Linked DNA regions of Caenorhabditis elegans. The protein of the gene in region 4 interacts with the protein of the main gene of each other region in a pairwise test. Each region holds a gene or a part of one and is shown on either strand. Other genes may lie near its edges.

Region 1 (3,844 bases), on a different chromosome or scaffold from region 4:
TGGCATTGTGGAACACATTGAGCAGATTGAGACACTGAAGGTTCTAGGATGACAGTCACAATTTGTGGAGCAACAACTGGAGATTGGCATGCTGATTGGCATTGCTGACATTGTGGAGCAGCTGGTTGCTGACATTGTGGAATACATTGTTGTTGGCACTGTTGAGTCTGTTGGCACGAAGTTTGACATTGTTGGCAAGCTGGTGCAGATGGAAGTGTGCATTGTGGAGCACACTGTTGCTGGCAAACTGGAGCATACTGCTGGCAAGTATTCTGGCACTGCTGGCACTGTGGAGCTGATGGCTGTTGGCATTGAGGAGCACACTGTTGTACGCATTGTGGAGCTGCTTGCTGACAGGTTGTCTGGCATGGTTGAGTACATTCCTGATAGCACTGTTGAACTGGAACTTGTTGTAGAAGACATTGTTGTTGACACTGTTGTTGGCATTGTGGAGCACATTGAGCAGAGATTCCCAAGTTGACATTGATGACTTGTGGAGCAACAGTTGGAGCACATTGTTGAACACATTGCTGCTGACATTGTGGTTGACATTGTTGAATTGGTTGAGCTTGAACACATTGTTGAGTGCACTTTTGTTGGCATTGTGGAACACACTGGACTGTGACTGGAGCTGGAGCAACACAGGATTGTTCACAGGCTGGCATGCAAGATGGTTGACATTGGACTGGAGCTGGAGCAGCTATTTGAGTATAACAGGAAGACGTCTGACAAGTCTGCTGGCATGAAGATTGACACTCATTCATAGATGGAGCAAATTGACATTGGTTCTGGCAAGACTGCTGACAAGCTGGAGCACATTGAGAAGTTTGCACTTGGTAAGTTACTTGCTGAACTGGTTGGGCACATGAGCAGGATGTCTGGACTGGAGCAGTGTTCTGACACGAACAACTGTACTGTTGTGGTTGAGTTGCTTGTTGGCATGAACAACTTGGTTGAACTTGTGAAGCACAACCACATGATTGACGTTTATCACGAATTGATGTTGCCTGGAAAAAACTTCTGTGAACTTGGAAAACAAGCATTTTGTTGCTAACATCGATTACGTCCAACAAATATTTGTAAGATGTGGGCACTTAGAAAACTAGACCGTATTATCAAGAACATTTTGAAAAAACTGTACATGATGAATTTTTCATCAAGTGATGGAAAATTGTTGTAGTTAATATAATATTTTTAATTATTAATAAACCGAAATACTAACTGAAAAAGTTTAGAAATGTCGTGCCATTCTAAAAGTGAAAGTACAATGAAACTTTATCAAACCTCGATAAGCAGACAGCTGGAAGCAAAGAGAGCTACAAATACGATGAAACGCATGATAATGGTTGAAGAAGCAGGGCTTGATGATTTCCACAGATATCAAGGCTTTATATACCCCCTCAAACACTGCTTGCGTACGATTATAGCAATGTAAAAAAATAGTGCCGGAAAAAATAGTCCAAGAGTTCAAGTCTTGTAATTTCGAATGGCTATTGTGAGAGCAAACAAAAAGGTGTTTCTAATAATGAGTGGCGTCAAAAGGCAATAAACAATTTAAAATCGTTTTGTCGAAATCCGAACTCTAAAGTTCAACAGGTAACCCTTTCATTACTTTTCTGAAAATGTAAACGAAATTTTTTGGTACACATAGTTAAGCGGAAACTCGGCGCAATCCAAAAAAAAAACACTGTATCAGTGCAAACGCGCACCCAACCTCTTTTTGATCTTTGCAACTTGCCGTGCCCTCAAGAAATAGTGTGTGTAAGACTGGGAGGCGACGAGCGTGTTTTTTGGTTCATTTGCCATGTTATCATTGTTATGTTTGCGCTGAGCATGAAGCCGGTTGATGGATGGAGTTTGATAAGTGGGACGGAACTGTTTGATGGCTAATGAAACAGGGTTGTAGGACGTTGGTATAAAAGTCGGAAAAATTAAAACAAGGGCATCAATTGTCTCTTAGCAGCTCTTCAATCATATTGACAATGCGTTTTATTACAATTGCAGCAGTTCTTCTTGTTTCTAGCCTTCTTATTGTTGAGGTACGATTTGTATTACTGTTGCTTCACTTACTTTCTGAATTATCTGTAGAATTAGTTAACAATTTATATGTACACCTTGAAACATTATATTATTTCTAGGCATCTTCAATTCGTGATAAACGTCAATCATGTGGTTGTGCTTCACAAGTTCAACCAAGTTGTTCATGCCAACAAGCAACTCAACCACAACAGTACAGTTGTTCGTGTCAGAACACTGCTCCAGTCCAGACATCCTGCTCATGTGCCCAACCAGTTCAGCAAGTAACTTACCAAGTGCAAACTTCTCAATGTGCTCCAGCTTGTCAGCAGTCTTGCCAGAACCAATGTCAATTTGCTCCATCTATGAATGAGTGTCAATCTTCATGCCAGCAGACTTGTCAGACGTCTTCCTGTTATACTCAAATAGCTGCTCCAGCTCCAGTCCAATGTCAACCATCTTGCATGCCAGCCTGTGAACAATCCTGTGTTGCTCCAGCTCCAGTCACAGTCCAGTGTGTTCCACAATGCCAACAAAAGTGCACTCAACAATGTGTTCAAGCTCAACCAATTCAACAATGTCAACCACAATGTCAGCAGCAATGTGTTCAACAATGTGCTCCAACTGTTGCTCCACAAGTCATCAATGTCAACTTGGGAATCTCTGCTCAATGTGCTCCACAATGCCAACAACAGTGTCAACAACAATGTCTTCTACAACAAGTTCCAGTTCAACAGTGCTATCAGGAATGTACTCAACCATGCCAGACAACCTGTCAGCAAGCAGCTCCACAATGCGTACAACAGTGTGCTCCTCAATGCCAACAGCCATCAGCTCCACAGTGCCAGCAGTGCCAGAATACTTGCCAGCAGTATGCTCCAGTTTGCCAGCAACAGTGTGCTCCACAATGCACACTTCCATCTGCACCAGCTTGCCAACAATGTCAAACTTCGTGCCAACAGACTCAACAGTGCCAACAACAATGTATTCCACAATGTCAGCAACCAGCTGCTCCACAATGTCAGCAATGCCAATCAGCATGCCAATCTCCAGTTGTTGCTCCACAAATTGTGACTGTCATCCTAGAACCTTCAGTTTCTCAATCTGCTCAATGTGTTCCACAATGCCAACAATCATGCCAACAACAATGCATTCAACAACAACAACCAATGCAGCAATGTGCTCCAGCATGCACCCAATCATGCTATCAATCGTGCTCTACTGCTCAACTAGTCCAGATGCCATGCCTCACTCAATCAGTCAACTCCTGCTCTTGCCAGCAAAACTATTCTCCGTGTGGAAATGGACAATGTTGCAAGAGAATGTAGTCATCCAATGTATAATTGTGACACCAGTTATGTGTATATACAAGACAATACTTCTTTATACTTTTTTAATAAATAATATTGATAACTTTAAGTTTTTACTCAAATTTAGAAAAAAAAAAAAAACTTTGACCACTGAGCGGATCGAACGCCCAACCTTTCGATCTGGAGTCGAACGCGCTACCATTGCGCCAAGCAGTCACATTTTCCTTTGTCATCTAGTGCAATGACACGAAAGGGGTAGAGAGAAAGGAGAGAATAAGGAGGGGACATATGGCGGTAGAAAAACCGGTGACGGACTACTCTCTTCATCGTTTATCACATATTCTGAGTGTTTGTTTTTTCAAATTTAATGGAGGAAATAGATAGAATAGTGAGGAAATGAGAATGTTATTGATTTTCATGGCGGCATTGGTGTGAAACTTGTTGCTCCTACTGACGCGATTGTGCCAACTCTTGACTGTTTAATCTCTTTGAAACTTCTGAACAGAATCATTCGAATT
Region 2 (5,117 bases), on a different chromosome or scaffold from region 4:
GGAAGAACCCATCGAATTCTCAAAAGACATATTCCCAGCCTGTCTTCCATCTGCTCCAAAGATCCCGAGGATCAGAGAAACCGGATATAAGCTTTTTGGTTATGGAAGAGATCGTAAGTTCCGATTTTTATGTGATCTTTTGAAATTTTTAATTCCAGCTTCGGATAGTGTTTTGGAGTCTGGAAAGTTGAAATCGCTATACTCGTTTGTTGCGGAGTGCTCCGACGATTTCCCATATGGCGGGGTGTATTGTACGTCGGCAGTGAATAGAGGATTGTCTTGTGATGTTTGTTTTTAAAGTTTAAAAGTGTTTCTTCAGAAGTAGGCAGAACAATGCCTACTTGCCCAAGATGCCTAATAGTTTCCACTGATTCCAGGGTGACAGTGGCTCGGGAGTTGTCCGAACATCGGACACTCGAAATGTTCAAGTTCTCGTAGGTGTTTTGTCAGCCGGAATGCCTTGTCCAGAACTCTACGATACCCATAATCGTCAACGTCAGCAACGGAGACAGCTGACTCAAGAGACTGATCTTCTCGTGGATGTCTCGGCACACGTGGATTTCTTCTGCACGTGCTGTGGAATGTGCAGTTGAAAGTTTAAGATTCAAACATTTCATTTCGTTTTTAATATAAGAATGCTGAAATAAAAGTGAACGTTGAGTAATTAGTTAATTTACACAAGAAAGTTTTTGAAAAATCTGATTTCAATTCAGTCCTGCATCTATTCAAGTTTGCGATTGGCGTTCTGAAAGTTCAAAAATTAGAAATTCACATCTCTATCACTTACGTAAATGTTGATTTGATTCTTGAGCTGTGCAGTGAGCACTTTTCCAAACACAATATGATTGTGAGACGCGAGGATTTTTGCGGCGGCAAGCGCGGCCTCCGATGGGTCCAACACTGTAGTACACCCGATTCCATTCGGCATTCGGAGTGATGACCAAATGTCAAGACTCGTTGATTCACTTGGTGGCGGGCAGTTGATCACCTGAATTCTTTGAAATAAAGATCATCTGATCTTTCAAGTCCTACCGGAAGAGACGAGTTTCCAGCAATAACTGGACCGAGTCCATTGGATCTTCCAGCTACTGCAATCACAACTGTCGGAACTCCACTTTCTTCGAAATCAGCGATAACTTCCAGAGTGTCCGAGGTAGTTTTATGAGCTGAGCTTACTTTCAGCGTAGTTTCCAGTCCAAATTTCTTGGCTTCATCAGAGATTTTCCGTGCGAATACGCCATCCGAACCAGATCCCATGATCACAAGAACATGGCATTTTTGCTGGTGTTTTGAGAAGGTGGCAGTGATATCCATAACCTGGAAATGTTATTGGTAGGTAGATACGCCTTCGTGTCTATGTGCCTGCCTACCTACTCAACGTGTCTACCGAAAATTGTAGGTATGCATATTGGCAGAAATCAGGTGCAGATCGCCTTGCAGGCAGGCAAGTTATTGTGCTTACACGAAAGGTTTGATTCGCGTAAAAATCTAACAATTGATATATAGGATGATTGAATTTAGGTTTAGGCTTAGGCTTAGGCTTATGCTTAGACATGGGCTTAGGCTAAAACTTAGGATTAGGCTTAGTCTTTGGTTTAGGCTCAGGCATAGGCATATGCTTAGGCCTAAGCTTCGGCCTACTAACCTTTGTATAATTCTTCAAAACGAGAGCCAACCCCTCTTCTGTCACTTCCTTCATATCCCTGTAAACTTGCTTATCCAACTGCAGACGTCTATCATTTTCAGGCCAAACTCTCCACGAGTCATTGTCAATCACGTCGGCCAGGAGAATTTCTCCTTCAACTGTGACTCCGAATTCGATCTGGAATTTTCAGGTTTTCTTCAAAATTATTTCAAAATTACAACAACCGACAATTGTAAAATTCAGCGAAAAGAAAAACACACTTCTCCTCGTGAAGTACTCAAGCTGCGTAAATCGACACGTTACAGAAAACACCCAGTTTTAAATGGTGCTGATTTCCTTTCAAAATGTAAATATTTACAAAACGAATATATTGCAGACCGAACATTAAACTTACATACTTTTTATTATGTTTACTTTTTAAAGTTGAGACCGATAAAAAAAAAGAGAATAATAAAAACTTTGCAACACCCTCACCTTCATATCAATCAGAGCACTATTTGAAAGAGCCCATCCTTTCTCCAATGCTCTAAACACCAACTTTGTCATCTTCTTCATCAATGAAATCTCTTCTCTTCCAATTTTCAAATGATCAATCATCAAACCATTCGACACAATTTGTTCATCAGTCCATTGTGGATCATCATTAGCGTCGTCTTTGAAAAATGTCTCCAATTTCAGATCATTAAATCTGAAACCCTCTTTAACTCCAGGATTTCTCTTCAAGAAGGATCCTGTCGCAACACGTCGTGCCACCCATTCAATCGGAATCATGGTGCATTTACGGGCGACAAATTCAGTTTCAGAGATGCTTTTTTCAAAGTGTGTTGGTAGACCGAGAAGTTGAAGATATTCAAACACGTTTGATGTGGTTTTACTTGCGATTCTAGACTTTCCTTCAAGCTCATTTTTACGGACAGCGTTGAATGCGGTCAAGCTATCTTTGGAACGAATGAGCACATAATCCTGAAAAGATTTTGTTCAGAAATTGAAAAAGTTGGATTCAATTTTGTTGAAAAGCACATTATTATCGCAATCCAAACGGAAAAATTCAAATAGATTTCAAATTTACGAAATTGACCGAGTTTTTTCTAGGCTCCGTGAAAGCTCAGACACCGTTTTTACAGGAAATTTTCCGTACGTGTATTTGAAAAATGTGCTGAAAGAGTGGCCGAGTTTTCTCATTTCCTAGGCCACAAGCTGGCTATTTGCGGCGTGGCCTAGAAAACGTGAAACCTCGGCCACTCACCGACAGTGAAAACCGAACATTTCTTTCAAAGATTATTTTGAGCATACTTCTGAAAAATCTCTTCTGATAATTCGGTTGGCCGAGTTTTCGTGTTTCTAGGACACGCTTTTCTGAATATTATGTAGACGCATAAAAATGTGACTTGGGCTGCAAAAGCGCGCCACGGATAACTGAAAACCGGGTCTCGTTAGGTATTGGCGGTAAAACCGTATAATCCTACTTTTTTGCCGATTCCAGCACTTTCCAATCATTTCTCGTTGTTTTTAACGATTTTTATGTTGAAAAATGCAAAAAAAATTGGGTGAGATCGTCAAAAATTCACGTTCCCAACGAGACCCAACGTTTTGGGGCGGAGCTTGTCAGATTACTCGCGGAGCGCGTTTGCATCACGATTTCAAAAGGCGCTTTTAAAATATCTAAATTTTAATCTATAAAGCATTAAAAAATTAGTAGAAAATTAATGTTTTCCCAAATTTTTTGAATTTTCAGTGAAAAAAACCAACCTTTTCTCCTTTAATATCAAAGATTTGCTTGGTTTTTCCTTCAGCAAGAAGCTCCAAGTTTTCGGGTCTCGACGCGATTTCAGCCAACGACGACATGACAAACAATAATAGTATCGAATGAAACTGTGTTGCTATCACGGAACGATATCAGAACCCCCTTGTAGGCGAGTTTGTCATCGACAAACATCTTGTTTTCAGCCTTTTTCCCCGTCTTATCAGTTCGGTGTTGCGCCACTGAAAATACAGAGAAAACCGCCGCCGCCAGTCATTGTGAAGCTCTTTCTTTGAAAAATCACAGGTTTTCAAAGAGCAACTTGTGTATATCGATAATCGTTTATACGAAAACGTAGAGAAAAGAGGAAAAATAAGGAAAACGAAGGAAAAAAATGGGAGATTGGGAGAGAAAATGTGGAGAGAAAGAGGGGAAAAAGAGATGGAAAATGAGAGAGAAAGGGAGCAATTCGAGAACAAGATGACGAAAGTGGGATATAGAAAATTTGCACACGAGAGATCATCTTCTTCTTGTTTAGTTTGGAGTAGCTCGCGCCGCCGATGGAACGGCTCCCGGTTGCACATTGATTCCTCCGATTCCAGCTGCTCCAACACCACCACCACCCATAACTCCGTTAAGACCCGCTGGTGCCGGTGGAGTGATTTGTCCGCCACCGCCGCCACCTGTGCCGAGCGTCAAGTTATGCATCTGAAGCATCAGACCCGTCTCCGGACCGCTCGGAAATTGTGGTCCTTGGAAAAAGTATTTGTAGGGTGTCGGTTGTCCGGAAACTGATTGCGGCATTTTCGGCCGATCCTCGAGCTCTTTGTACTCCAACTTTAACTCTTTCGGAATTTTTCGCCATTGCATCTGATCGAACACGTTGTAATGCCCTTTTTCATAATTTCCCGTCTGTTCTTTCACTCCACCGTACTGAGAACGCGTCAACCACACCTGTTCGCTTTTGTGAAATCGCCATTCGCGAGCGTACCTGCAAAAAATTTGAAAATATAATGATTGTTTCGTGATAAAAAAGATTTTCTCAATTGCTAACATAAAATATATGTTTTTTTCAATTTTCTAGCTAAAATTTTAAAATTATTAATAATTTGATTCGTGAACTTCGACCGCGACGTAACTGCAAACGGAGCGGCTCAATAATTTTTATTTTAACTTTTCGCTAAGAACGCGTGATTCACATGATTTTTCATAAATTTATATATGAGGCGAAATAAGAATCAACTAAAATGATGAACAATTATGCGATCTTAACGAAAAAGCGGATTTTCTTGAAAGTTTTTCGCCCAGAACGAGTGATTTTCTATCATTTTGGCCAATTTTTTATGCGTTTCATATGTAAATTCATGAAAATCACAAATTCTCGGGGAAAAAAAAAAACTAAAATAAATTTTTTAAACACGACGCTCCGCTCGCGGTCATGGTCGATGCAGGTTTTTGGAATAAACTTTACTTACAATTCGCACGCCGCCGCCACCTGATAAATCTCGTTTGGACAGTTGTAAAAAAGATAGAATAACACGTCTTCTGAAACTTTATTCAATCGCAGCGGTGGAAGTTTGTCTCGAATATGATTATGCGTCATGTACTCCTCGGGCACCTTCACGTCGAGCTCGTGTGCTCGAATCGGCGAATCGGCCCACGGACCACCAAAGTTCATGTACAATTTTCGTCTGAAACAGAGGGAAATTAGAGTTTTTCTGGGCTTTTCGG
Region 3 (4,506 bases), 5.4 Mb from region 4:
CGAAAATGAATTGTTTTTGCAAAAAAAGTGTCTGAAAATTATTGGCGGCAAAAGTGGTCCGTAAACACGTTCACGATAAAATGCACAGGGGTACGGTTTGTGAACCGTAACTCCAATATAATTCGATCTGTTTTATCGAATTTTTGTTTCAAATCTTTTCTTTTCACTTTCTTTGATAGAAAAACCTTTTTAAACAATCAGACTAACCCTTTTGTATACATAATAGCTTGCCTTGCCAGTAAGTGAAACAAATCTTCAAGTTTTCAAACTAGTACCGTTGTATCTCTCGTGTTGTCGAAATTGAGTATCCTTAACGAAAATAAAGCAAAGCCAAGTCCAAACAGAAGTTTTTGTTAGAGAATAGTGTAGACTAGCTCGATACGAGTTAGGAATAATTCAAAAAAACATTAAGTTCAATTTTTTACGCATCGATTTCATATTGATGTGTTGAGGAAAAGTTCACGTAATGCTAATATCAACGAGACGATCCTGTTCACAGCAGTAATGAATGAAATAAATTCCTTTAAAACTTTTAGAAAGATAACATCCTTTTTTGAGTTGAACTTCTGTGATAAGGATGACTTCATGTTTTAATCTTTTTAGGATTCATTACAAAACTGTCACAAAATTTCAGATATAATTAAGGAAAAAGATCGTATGTGAGTTTAGTTATTAAGATATTGTCAAACAATAAAGAAACATGTAAGCTTCTACTGGTGACGAATGTGCCGACGGGGATTTTGCGGAACCACTTCTTCCTCTACTTCCTCGTACACTTGGTGATGATTTTCCATGACATGATGATGCTCAACTTCGAGTTGTTCTTCCTGAACTTCCTCTTCTTGTTCGATGTATCGGGTGATTGGAATTCGCATGGAAGCTTCATACTGTTCATGGAGTAGTTTTTCTTGCATTTTTTGTAGATGAATATGACGTTGGAGTGCCTGAAACGTGTCTTATTATAATTTCAATTTTGGTTTTCATGCGAAATACCTCGATCTGCAGTTTGCATACTTCATCATTGGTGGATGGCGCCATAATAACGGGAGGCAATCCTGCATTATCACCACGAAGAATAGACGAAGGATCAGGGTACTCGATCAGATGTGGATTTGAGCGATTTACTTCGGTGTTATCTAAAAATTTCCAACATTCAAAATAAGACTGAAATTTAAAAACCTACCTATTCTATCCGAGTCGCCGATTGCCAGACTGAAACGATTTGCCATTCCTCGAATACTTGGCAACTCTCGCCTTCTCTTTTTCAAAAGTCCAGCTGTAGTCGTTGGAGTTGGTGATAATTGTCGTCCAGATGACTCATAATCTCTCATATCTCTCGTCGTTCTTCCAGTTCTCATCTCCAAATGACGTTTTTGACTATATCTTTGCTGTTCATGGTTCATTTTTTGTGGTGATGCTGAAGACGTCGATTCTTGAGAACGAGAAGAGACAGCAAGATTTCCCTGAAAATAATTTGTTTTGATCGGAATTCAATAAGAACACTTGACTCATTCATTTCTTACCTCATCTTCCGTTTTGAAATTATTCGAGTTCAGTACTGCTCCGCCAACAGTTACTGGATGTGCATTGGGCAGTTCTTCATCTTTTCTTTTAACTTCTTCTCTTGATCTCATCATTCCATCGTCCATTTCTGGAACTGTTTCATACATCATATCAGGATGATGAGTGAACATGTCGCGCCCAAAAACTTCGATAAACTCGGGTTCTGTGGCACGAGATCTTTGGTGAAATGGAAGAAGATATCCAACTGATTGATTTTTGTGTTTCTTCACATATGGTTGTCGACGGAACGTTGGCGGCTGCAAAATATTTTTTAAAAATTTGAAAATGCAAATATTGTGAATTTGGCAATAATTAAAGTAAATTTAAAACGATTTTTGCTTAGAGTTGTAGAGAATCTCAGATTCTTAACGTACCCCAGTCTGCTGATGGTTACTGTATCTGCTTCTGAATGCATGCTCAGTTTCTTTGAATGTATATGATGTCATCCTTGTAAATGATGCTTCGCGAACTTCATCCTCATTGTATCCCACCAATTGAAACTCAAATCGATCATTTCCGCTGGAAGAATCTCTAACAAGCACGGAAATATCAAAATGCTCAGAGGTAATATCCACAGGTGCTTTTGTTATTTTTCTGCCTTGTATTTTCTTTGCTGTACAAAAATCACAAGAGGCAATAAATGTTTTAACATCTTGTCGAACCGACCGCCAGTAGAGTTTCCGAAGCACGACCATCTGCCTATAAGTAACAATTGTCAGCTATTATTATAGTAGTTTTACTTACGTTCTTTTCTGCCCAAGATGACCAATAAGTTCGTGAATTCTCTCAAGGACTTTTTGAACTTCTCCTTTCTTCACTACTACTTTTGGAATAGTATTCGCAGACTTCTCGGGATTGTAATACAAAAGAGTTTCCCTATCGTCCGCCATTGAAAAACATTTACAACGAGCTCTCCAATGACTCGGCGCACTACGATCAAGACGAGAGGAGACACTTGCAGGAACTTGGTCCGTTCTGGAATAATGCTTTAAATTTATATTACTCAGGAAAAATTTTTTTTACGTTTTGAACATAACAATATCTTGATATTGGTCAATTGGCATTCCACCATATTCGCTTCCATCATGGGCTTCATAGTGAATACTGTCATCTTCATCATTTGCAACCATTTCCTTAAATTTGAATAAAGAAAATTAATGATTCAAGCACACTCACTCTCATATCATTCATATCGTCATCCACTGCAATTTCCTCATATCCTTCGACTACCATGTTGTCGTCAACTATCTCAGTACTGTTCATTAACATCATCAGCTGAAATTTAAATTAAAATTTTAAGAAAAAACTCAAAGTGCCCAAAACAACAAGAACGAACAATTGGAATAATGTTGAGTACTTTTAAATGGTCTATTATAAATATTTTTGAATTAAAATATATTTTTAATATGTTTAAATTACCGCCAGAGTGAGCAGAAAAGGCCCGAAACGTCACATATTGACGCGTTCGGTGTGACGAGCGCAAGACTAGACGACCGCGACGCGACCGCTACGCAGCGGAGAGAAAAGAAAATTGTGCAAGTGCGCTGTGTTGAACTACTCGCCCAGATTAATTTTCGCAATTTTGACTCGATTCTCAGCATTTTCAACTAGAAAATAAAGTTTTTATTTCCATTTTTGAACTCCTTATCGATAGTACCATGCTTATTTCTAAGAAAGCCTTCTTTGTTTCGCAAAGCTGGATAGTATTAATATGTTTTGAACATGTAACTATCGGTTTAAAAAATATAGATTGTAAATGAATTCAAATCATATCGGTTCTTCTTTTTCTGATGTTCAAAATATTCTGTATTCCGTTTCAATGTAGCTTTTCTTCTCAACTTTCTGGATTTCTCTTCAACACTTTTTCCTAGATGTCTTCCGAATCACAATCGAGCAGCAGTGGGCCGTCGTCCAGTGGATCAAAAATGAAGGATTTCAATCAGAGGTTCCGTGATCTTCACAAACTCCGCCAAAGAGCGAGAAAAGAGAATCACGAACAGGTTAGTGTTTTAACGTTTACATTTTCAATTATAATTTAAAATTGTAGGTCGTTGAAGAAGATCGTCGCAGCAAACTTCCAAAAAACCACGAAGCAAAAAAGGAAAGAGATCAATGGCAGGTTAAAGAGCTACAAGATCGAAAAGCTGCAGAAGACAAGGGATTGGACTATGAACGTGTTCGCAGTTTAGAGATGTCTGCAGATGTTACTGAGAAGCTTGAGCAAAAAAGAAAGAGAAAGAAGAACCCAGATCAAGGATTTACTTCTTACGAAGATATGACTCTTCGTCAACATACTCGCCTGACTGCTGCTCTTGATCCAGATCTTGATTCTTACAAAAAGATGAGAGAATGCGTTGGAGGGGAACAGTTTTACCCAACTGCTGACACACTTATTCATGGTAAGGAGCAAAACTCATAATTTCAAAGAAAAACCAAAGAGTTTTCAGGAAATCACTATCCGACAACTGCTGCAATGGATAAGCTCACTAAAGATGTTCACGGCCAAGTTAAAAGACGAGAACAATATCATCGTCGTAGACTTTATGATCCTGACGCGCCAATTGATTACATCAATGAGAAAAACAAGAAATTCAATAAGAAACTGGACAAGTACTATGGAAAGTACACAGAAGATATCAAAGACGATTTGGAACGTGGAACAGCTATCTGAAACCGAGGATCGCTTTTTTATTTTCTTTTTCAGACATTTTTTCAACTTTTTTTCTTCTTTTGTTTTGTTCTTCATCTTCCCATTCCATACTATTTTCTCTCTTCTATTCGATAATCTTTGTACCTACAAAACTCAAATAATAAATAAAAATTATTTTCAGGTGACATGACGGCATTTCTACCTCCCAATCTTCTGGCGCTTTTCGAAGCACGACCACCAGTGCAATATCTTCCACCATGCCAGGACCTACTAGTGGACAAAAATGCTAAAAG
Region 4 (4,895 bases):
AAAAATTGGAATATTTTGGAAAACAATTTGTTTTCAATTGGCAATTTATTAATTCTGAGCTTCTGAGCGTAAATTTTTTTTTATTTTGGAGCAATTCTGAGATGTCTTAGTGCATTTTTCGGGCATACATAAAAAAAAATTTATCTTAATAATAAAAACCTTAAATTTAGGCTTCACCGTCTGGAAATTCAATTTTTTCAGCTGAAAAACTTTCAAAAAAAAAAAAATTAAATTTTCACATTTATTTTCTCTGGAATTTTGGAGCAATTTCAAAGCTGTCTTAGTGCATTTTTAGTACACAAATATTTTTTCATTTTTCTTAAATTTTAATAATCTAAGCTTAAATAAAGGCTTCACCGTCTGAAAATGCAACTTTTTTCAGATGAAATATTAAAAAAAAAAACCTCTTTTATTAATTTTGTGCTCCAAACTTTCCCACGGTACGCAAATCATGTAATATGTACTTTTAAACATTATTTTTCCAATCAAAAATATCCAACAGCTTTTCCTTACAATTTGAAAATTTTTATTAAAATTTCAAAAAAATTTTTTTTTTTTTTTAATTTCGAATTTTTTTAAACTTGTTGTAACTTTTTTCCCTGTCGGCGCCAATTAACAAAATACGTAGAATTTTGCGCTTATTGTTTTGTTAGTTAACAAATTTTTGACAACTTTCTTATCAGCTGAGATTTAGGTGTTTCAGTTCGCAATCTGCGTCTCTCCTTGCTCTCCTCTATTTTAAAACCCCCATAACTTTGTTCTTGTGAGAGTTATCAAAAAATTGTCAACTAACAAAATATAGAGCACAAAAATATGCACATTTTGTATGTTGACAATTTTTTGATACCTTTTTTAGTTTTCGAGATATCTTAGTTTTAGTTTAGCTGTACCTTTTTCTGGCAAAAAACTTCCAAATTTCGGCAATTTTTCGGCAAATTTCCCGGCAAATTTCGCCAAGTACATCGGGCTCTCAGACAAGTGGTCTGTGAGTGGAAGTCGATAAAAGTAGTTTACGTGCTCTCCGTCCCCCCGCTTCTTCTCCGTCTCTGCTTCTATTTCTCCATTGACTAGTCCCACTACTTTTTACGGGGCGGAGGGCTCTCTTGCACTCCAGCTTCTTCTCTTTTTGTGCTCTTTTTTGCCCGTATGTGGGTGCTCATTTATTTTTCTTTGGTTTTAAAATAAATTCGGTTTATTAGGCTACTCGTAAAAATGAAGAAAAAACTTCAAATTCAAACGACATTAAAAAAAAATTTAATAAAAATTTTTTGAATTGCTCAAAAGCCCCACCTATATATATATATAGCTCCGCCTACTTCTCGCACAGACCCCGCCCACTTTTTGACTCCGCCCCCTTATTGGCAAAAGTTCTTGAAAAAAATAAAAATAAAAATTCAAATTGAAACAATTTTTTTTTAATGAAGTAGTTTTTTTCTAAATTGATGAAAATTTCTAAACAGTTTACAAGCACCGCCCACTTTTTGACTCCGCCCCTTTGTTGGAAAAATTCTTGTAAAAAAAAATAAAAAATAAAAGCTTCTCTTTCAAACGATTTTTAGTTGGTTTTTGTATGAAAAGTTTTTTTCCTAAAATAGAAATGTCTGAATAATTTGCAAGCTCCGCCCTTTTCTTACCCAGACTCCGCCCCTTTATTGACTAATTTTTTTTTGTCCATTTACCTGAAGTTCAAAAAAAAAATTTACAGTTTCATAGAGTAATAATTTTTCAAAAATCTCTTTTTCCAATGTTTAATGTGTCATTATAAACCCGCCCAGTTTTAAGCTCCGCCCATTTAGGCCCCGCCCATTTATGACCCAAATATTTTTTTCTCTATTCACCCGTGGATTTCCCTCCAACAAGTTACCCCAAAAATAAAAATAAAAATTCCTGCAGGCGCCCACCGGGATCTAACATCGTGGCCTCTTCCAACAACAACCATCAATCGTCTACACCATCATTCGGCGGTAGGTTGGACCGTTTTTCTTGTTGTCGACAATTATGCTGTGTCAGGACTAGAAAATCTGAATTCAGCACGCTGAGAGCTTCAAAATAAGCCCCATATTGCCTAGGTTCTAATAAATATGAAAAAATTTGGTCTCGCCACGAAAACTTGTAGGGTTTGGTAGTCTTGGTGAATTTGGGTTAGTCTTATTTTTCCTAGTTTTTTTTGATAATTTTGACACAATCTGAGCTAAAAATTGAGAAAAAATCTTAAAAAATAATAAAAATATGGATTTTCGAAGATTTTCGAAGATTTTCGAAAATCGATAACTTTGCGAATTTTAATTTTTTCTACCTGAATTTAGTTTCGAAAATTTTGTAATTCTTTGAAAAGCTTTAGAAAAATATATTTAACATTCTACACAGTACCCCGGGACTTTTCGTGGCGGGACCCAAATTTTTAAAATAGTCGGGGCCTAGCCAAGATGGGTGTTAAATGAAAGGTCTCGAAGGGCTAAATTCAAATTTTTAGGTTACAAAGCTTTAAATTGAGTTTTTAATTTTTTTTGAAATTAAAAAAAAAAAAAATCCAAAAAAAAAATCCAAAAAAAAATCCAAAAAAAAAATTTCAAAAATTTAAATTATTAATTTCAGGTTCGTGGGGTCCCTACAACAAGGCGGACCACCTAGTCACCAACTGAATGCTGGGCGGTCTGTCGGGACCCGGTCCGCCGCCCCCACCACCCCCCGCATCCTCCTATGGCATGGTGCCAGGCCCGTCGACCTCGTTCACCAACCATCTGGGTCCCACGACGTCATCCGCGTCTACAGTACCACCGACGAGTGACGCGTTGCTCCTGCAACTCCGTTCGAGACCCAATTCTCGCGTTTTTCGCGCCCTTTTTCAATATCTACCGTTAAGGGATTCGCCGAACGAGAATCCACAGCTCGAGCTGAGCCTTCAGCCGGGAGATGTGGTTCTGGTGAAAGGGGAAATGGATTCGGATGGATTTTATTGTGGGGAAACGCTGGATGGACGTCAGGGACTGGTACCATCAAATTATGTAGAGAGGTGAGCATTTTGAAGCTTAAAAATTGAGCTTTTTATACTTTTTTGGGCGAAATCTCACTTTTTCCCGTGAAAAAAGATTTAAAATTCGGAGTCTGAGATTGAAAATACAAAATTCGAATTCTCTGTGTTCAGAGCTTTCAAATGACCCCCATATTGGCTATATTCCGCCAACTTTGAAATTTCCGGGTCCCACCACGGAGGGGTACTGTAGTTTTCGTGGCGGGATCCGAAAATTTTCAAAAATGACGGAACCTAGCCGATATGGGGGTCATTTTAAAGGTCTCAACGAGACGAGTTCATTGGAGCAGGTTTTATGTGAAAATTCGATCATTTTTGAGGAAAAAAAATTTTTTTTGTTCAAAAAAGTTTTTTTTTTTTAATTTTTGTTTTAACCATGTTTTCTGTAAATAATCAGAATGAGCATAATCTCAGCTTCAAAATAGTAATCCGCCATACTTTGAAAATTCGGGTCTCACCACGAAAACTCCACCGGCTACTGTAGTTTAGACGGAAAGTTTGCAGTTTTATATTTCTAATAAATTTTTGAAAACTTTTCATATACCCTGTAAAAAATTTGTGCTGAGTAGCATAAAAATTGACAAAGTTACGGATTTTCGAAAAGATTCAAAAAAATCAAAATTTTTAATTTTGTAAAATATTTAAAAATTCTGTAACACGAAAAAAAGTTTGATTTTTTCTATTTTACCATTATTTTCGAATTTTTCACGCTATTCGCTTTAATTTGACAGCCAACATTCCCAGGCTCCGCCAATTTTGAAAATTTTCGTGGTGGGACTCAACAATTCAAAAAATTTCAATTTTACCAAGAACCTAGGCATGATGGGGGTCAAATGAAAGGTCTCAAAAAACTAAATTTGAATTTTGTATTAGTTTAACTTTTTTGTCAGCATCCTCAGGGTTACGGTAGATTTTGAACTTTCCATTGGAAAATTTTTTCGGAAAAGTTTCGAAAATCCATAACTTTTCTCATTTTTGAGATTTTAACTTGAATTAAAATGTATAACAATTGTGAGTATTTGAAAAATATGGCAAAAATAATATAATTCTGAAAAACTCGAAAACTACAGTTCCCTGGGGCTTTTCGTGGCGGGACCCAAATTTTAAAATTAAAAGGATATAGGCATGTGTTGGGGTCATTTTGAAGCTCCCAACGCGGTGAATTTCTAATAAAACGAAAAAAATTTATATTTTGAATAAGGAAAATGAAAATAATTTTAAGAATAATTTTCAAAAAAAAAAAAAATTTAAAAAACTTTTTTTTCTAAATTTTTTTATTTCTCCAAAATTTAGAAAATAAAACCAAATCTTTTCAGAGTTCCGGATTCAGTGCTCCTGGCAAATGCACGGGCTCCATCACCATCATTCCCGCTTCGAATACCCCAACATTTCTCGACAATCACACACGACTTCTCCTCTCCGGATCACTCAACACTACCCGATTCTGTAAGTTTTTGAGGAATTTTTAAAGAAAATTTGGCTAAAAATTCTTTCAAATTCAGTTTTGAAAAGCAATTTTGAAATAAAAAAAATTTAAAAAATTTTCTGGAATTTTTTTTTTTTTGAAATTTTTTTAAATTAATTTTTTCAAAAATATATAATTTTCAAATTTTTCAGGTTTGCCCTTACCCACCAGCTGACGTCACAAAAGTTACTGTACAAGAGATCAAGAACAACGAAACGCCTAGGAGTGAGTTGAAAATTTTAAAACATTCTCGAAAAAAAATTTTTTTTTTTCGAAATTTTCAAATATCGAGCCGCTACTCAGCCAATTTTCGAGATAAGCTCTTGAAAACTAATAATTCAATTTTTTCTTGCCAGTAGCTTCAATTTAACACCCATATCGGCTAGGCTCCGATGAAAA

What was found.
Region 1: the proteins of rimb-1 (region 4) and pqn-90 interact in a two-hybrid assay, tested with the Caenorhabditis elegans proteins (one large-scale study listed by BioGRID).
Region 2: the proteins of rimb-1 (region 4) and paic-1 interact in a two-hybrid assay, tested with the Caenorhabditis elegans proteins (one large-scale study listed by BioGRID).
Region 3: the proteins of rimb-1 (region 4) and K04G7.1 interact in a two-hybrid assay, tested with the Caenorhabditis elegans proteins (one large-scale study listed by BioGRID).

Annotation. Positions count from the first base shown.
Region 1 is NC_003282.8:15,289,401-15,293,244, reverse strand, and holds pqn-90 (Prion-like-(Q/N-rich)-domain-bearing protein), read left to right. Parts: upstream 1-1,982; coding exon 1,983-2,039; intron 2,040-2,056; exon of another isoform or gene 2,057-2,078; intron 2,079-2,108; exon of another isoform or gene 2,109-2,138; coding exon 2,139-3,344; downstream 3,345-3,844. Other genes in the region: pqn-91 (Prion-like-(Q/N-rich)-domain-bearing protein), read right to left, coding at 1-1,007, 1,285-1,338.
Region 2 is NC_003280.10:4,369,026-4,374,142, forward strand, and holds paic-1 (Phosphoribosylaminoimidazole-succinocarboxamide synthase), read right to left. Parts: upstream 3,501-5,117; 5' UTR 3,491-3,500; coding exon 3,395-3,490; intron 2,883-3,394; exon of another isoform or gene 2,813-2,882; intron 2,609-2,812; coding exon 2,120-2,608; intron 1,823-2,119; coding exon 1,646-1,822; intron 1,318-1,645; coding exon 1,033-1,317; intron 989-1,032; coding exon 788-988; intron 746-787; coding exon 722-745; 3' UTR 600-721; downstream 1-599. Other genes in the region: try-9 (Peptidase S1 domain-containing protein), read left to right, coding at 1-113, 159-286, 378-593; ntl-2.1 (NOT2/NOT3/NOT5 C-terminal domain-containing protein), read right to left, coding at 3,921-4,377, 4,862-5,077.
Region 3 is NC_003281.10:7,161,044-7,165,549, reverse strand, and holds K04G7.1 (Integrase zinc-binding domain-containing protein), read right to left. Parts: upstream 2,839-4,506; 5' UTR 2,797-2,838; coding exon 2,740-2,796; intron 2,697-2,739; coding exon 2,587-2,696; intron 2,539-2,586; coding exon 2,308-2,538; intron 2,263-2,307; coding exon 1,938-2,262; intron 1,821-1,937; coding exon 1,524-1,820; intron 1,464-1,523; coding exon 1,184-1,463; intron 1,137-1,183; coding exon 994-1,136; intron 945-993; coding exon 711-944; 3' UTR 590-710; downstream 1-589. Other genes in the region: Pre-mRNA-splicing factor syf-2, read left to right, coding at 3,435-3,563, 3,611-3,962, 4,011-4,234; rnp-7 (U1 small nuclear ribonucleoprotein 70 kDa), read left to right, coding at 4,400-4,506.
Region 4 is NC_003281.10:1,786,442-1,791,336, forward strand, and holds the start of rimb-1 (Variant SH3 domain protein), read left to right. Parts: upstream 1-1,891; 5' UTR 1,892-1,964; intron 1,965-2,595; 5' UTR 2,596-2,642; coding exon 2,643-3,013; intron 3,014-4,347; coding exon 4,348-4,477; intron 4,478-4,648; coding exon 4,649-4,721; intron 4,722-4,895.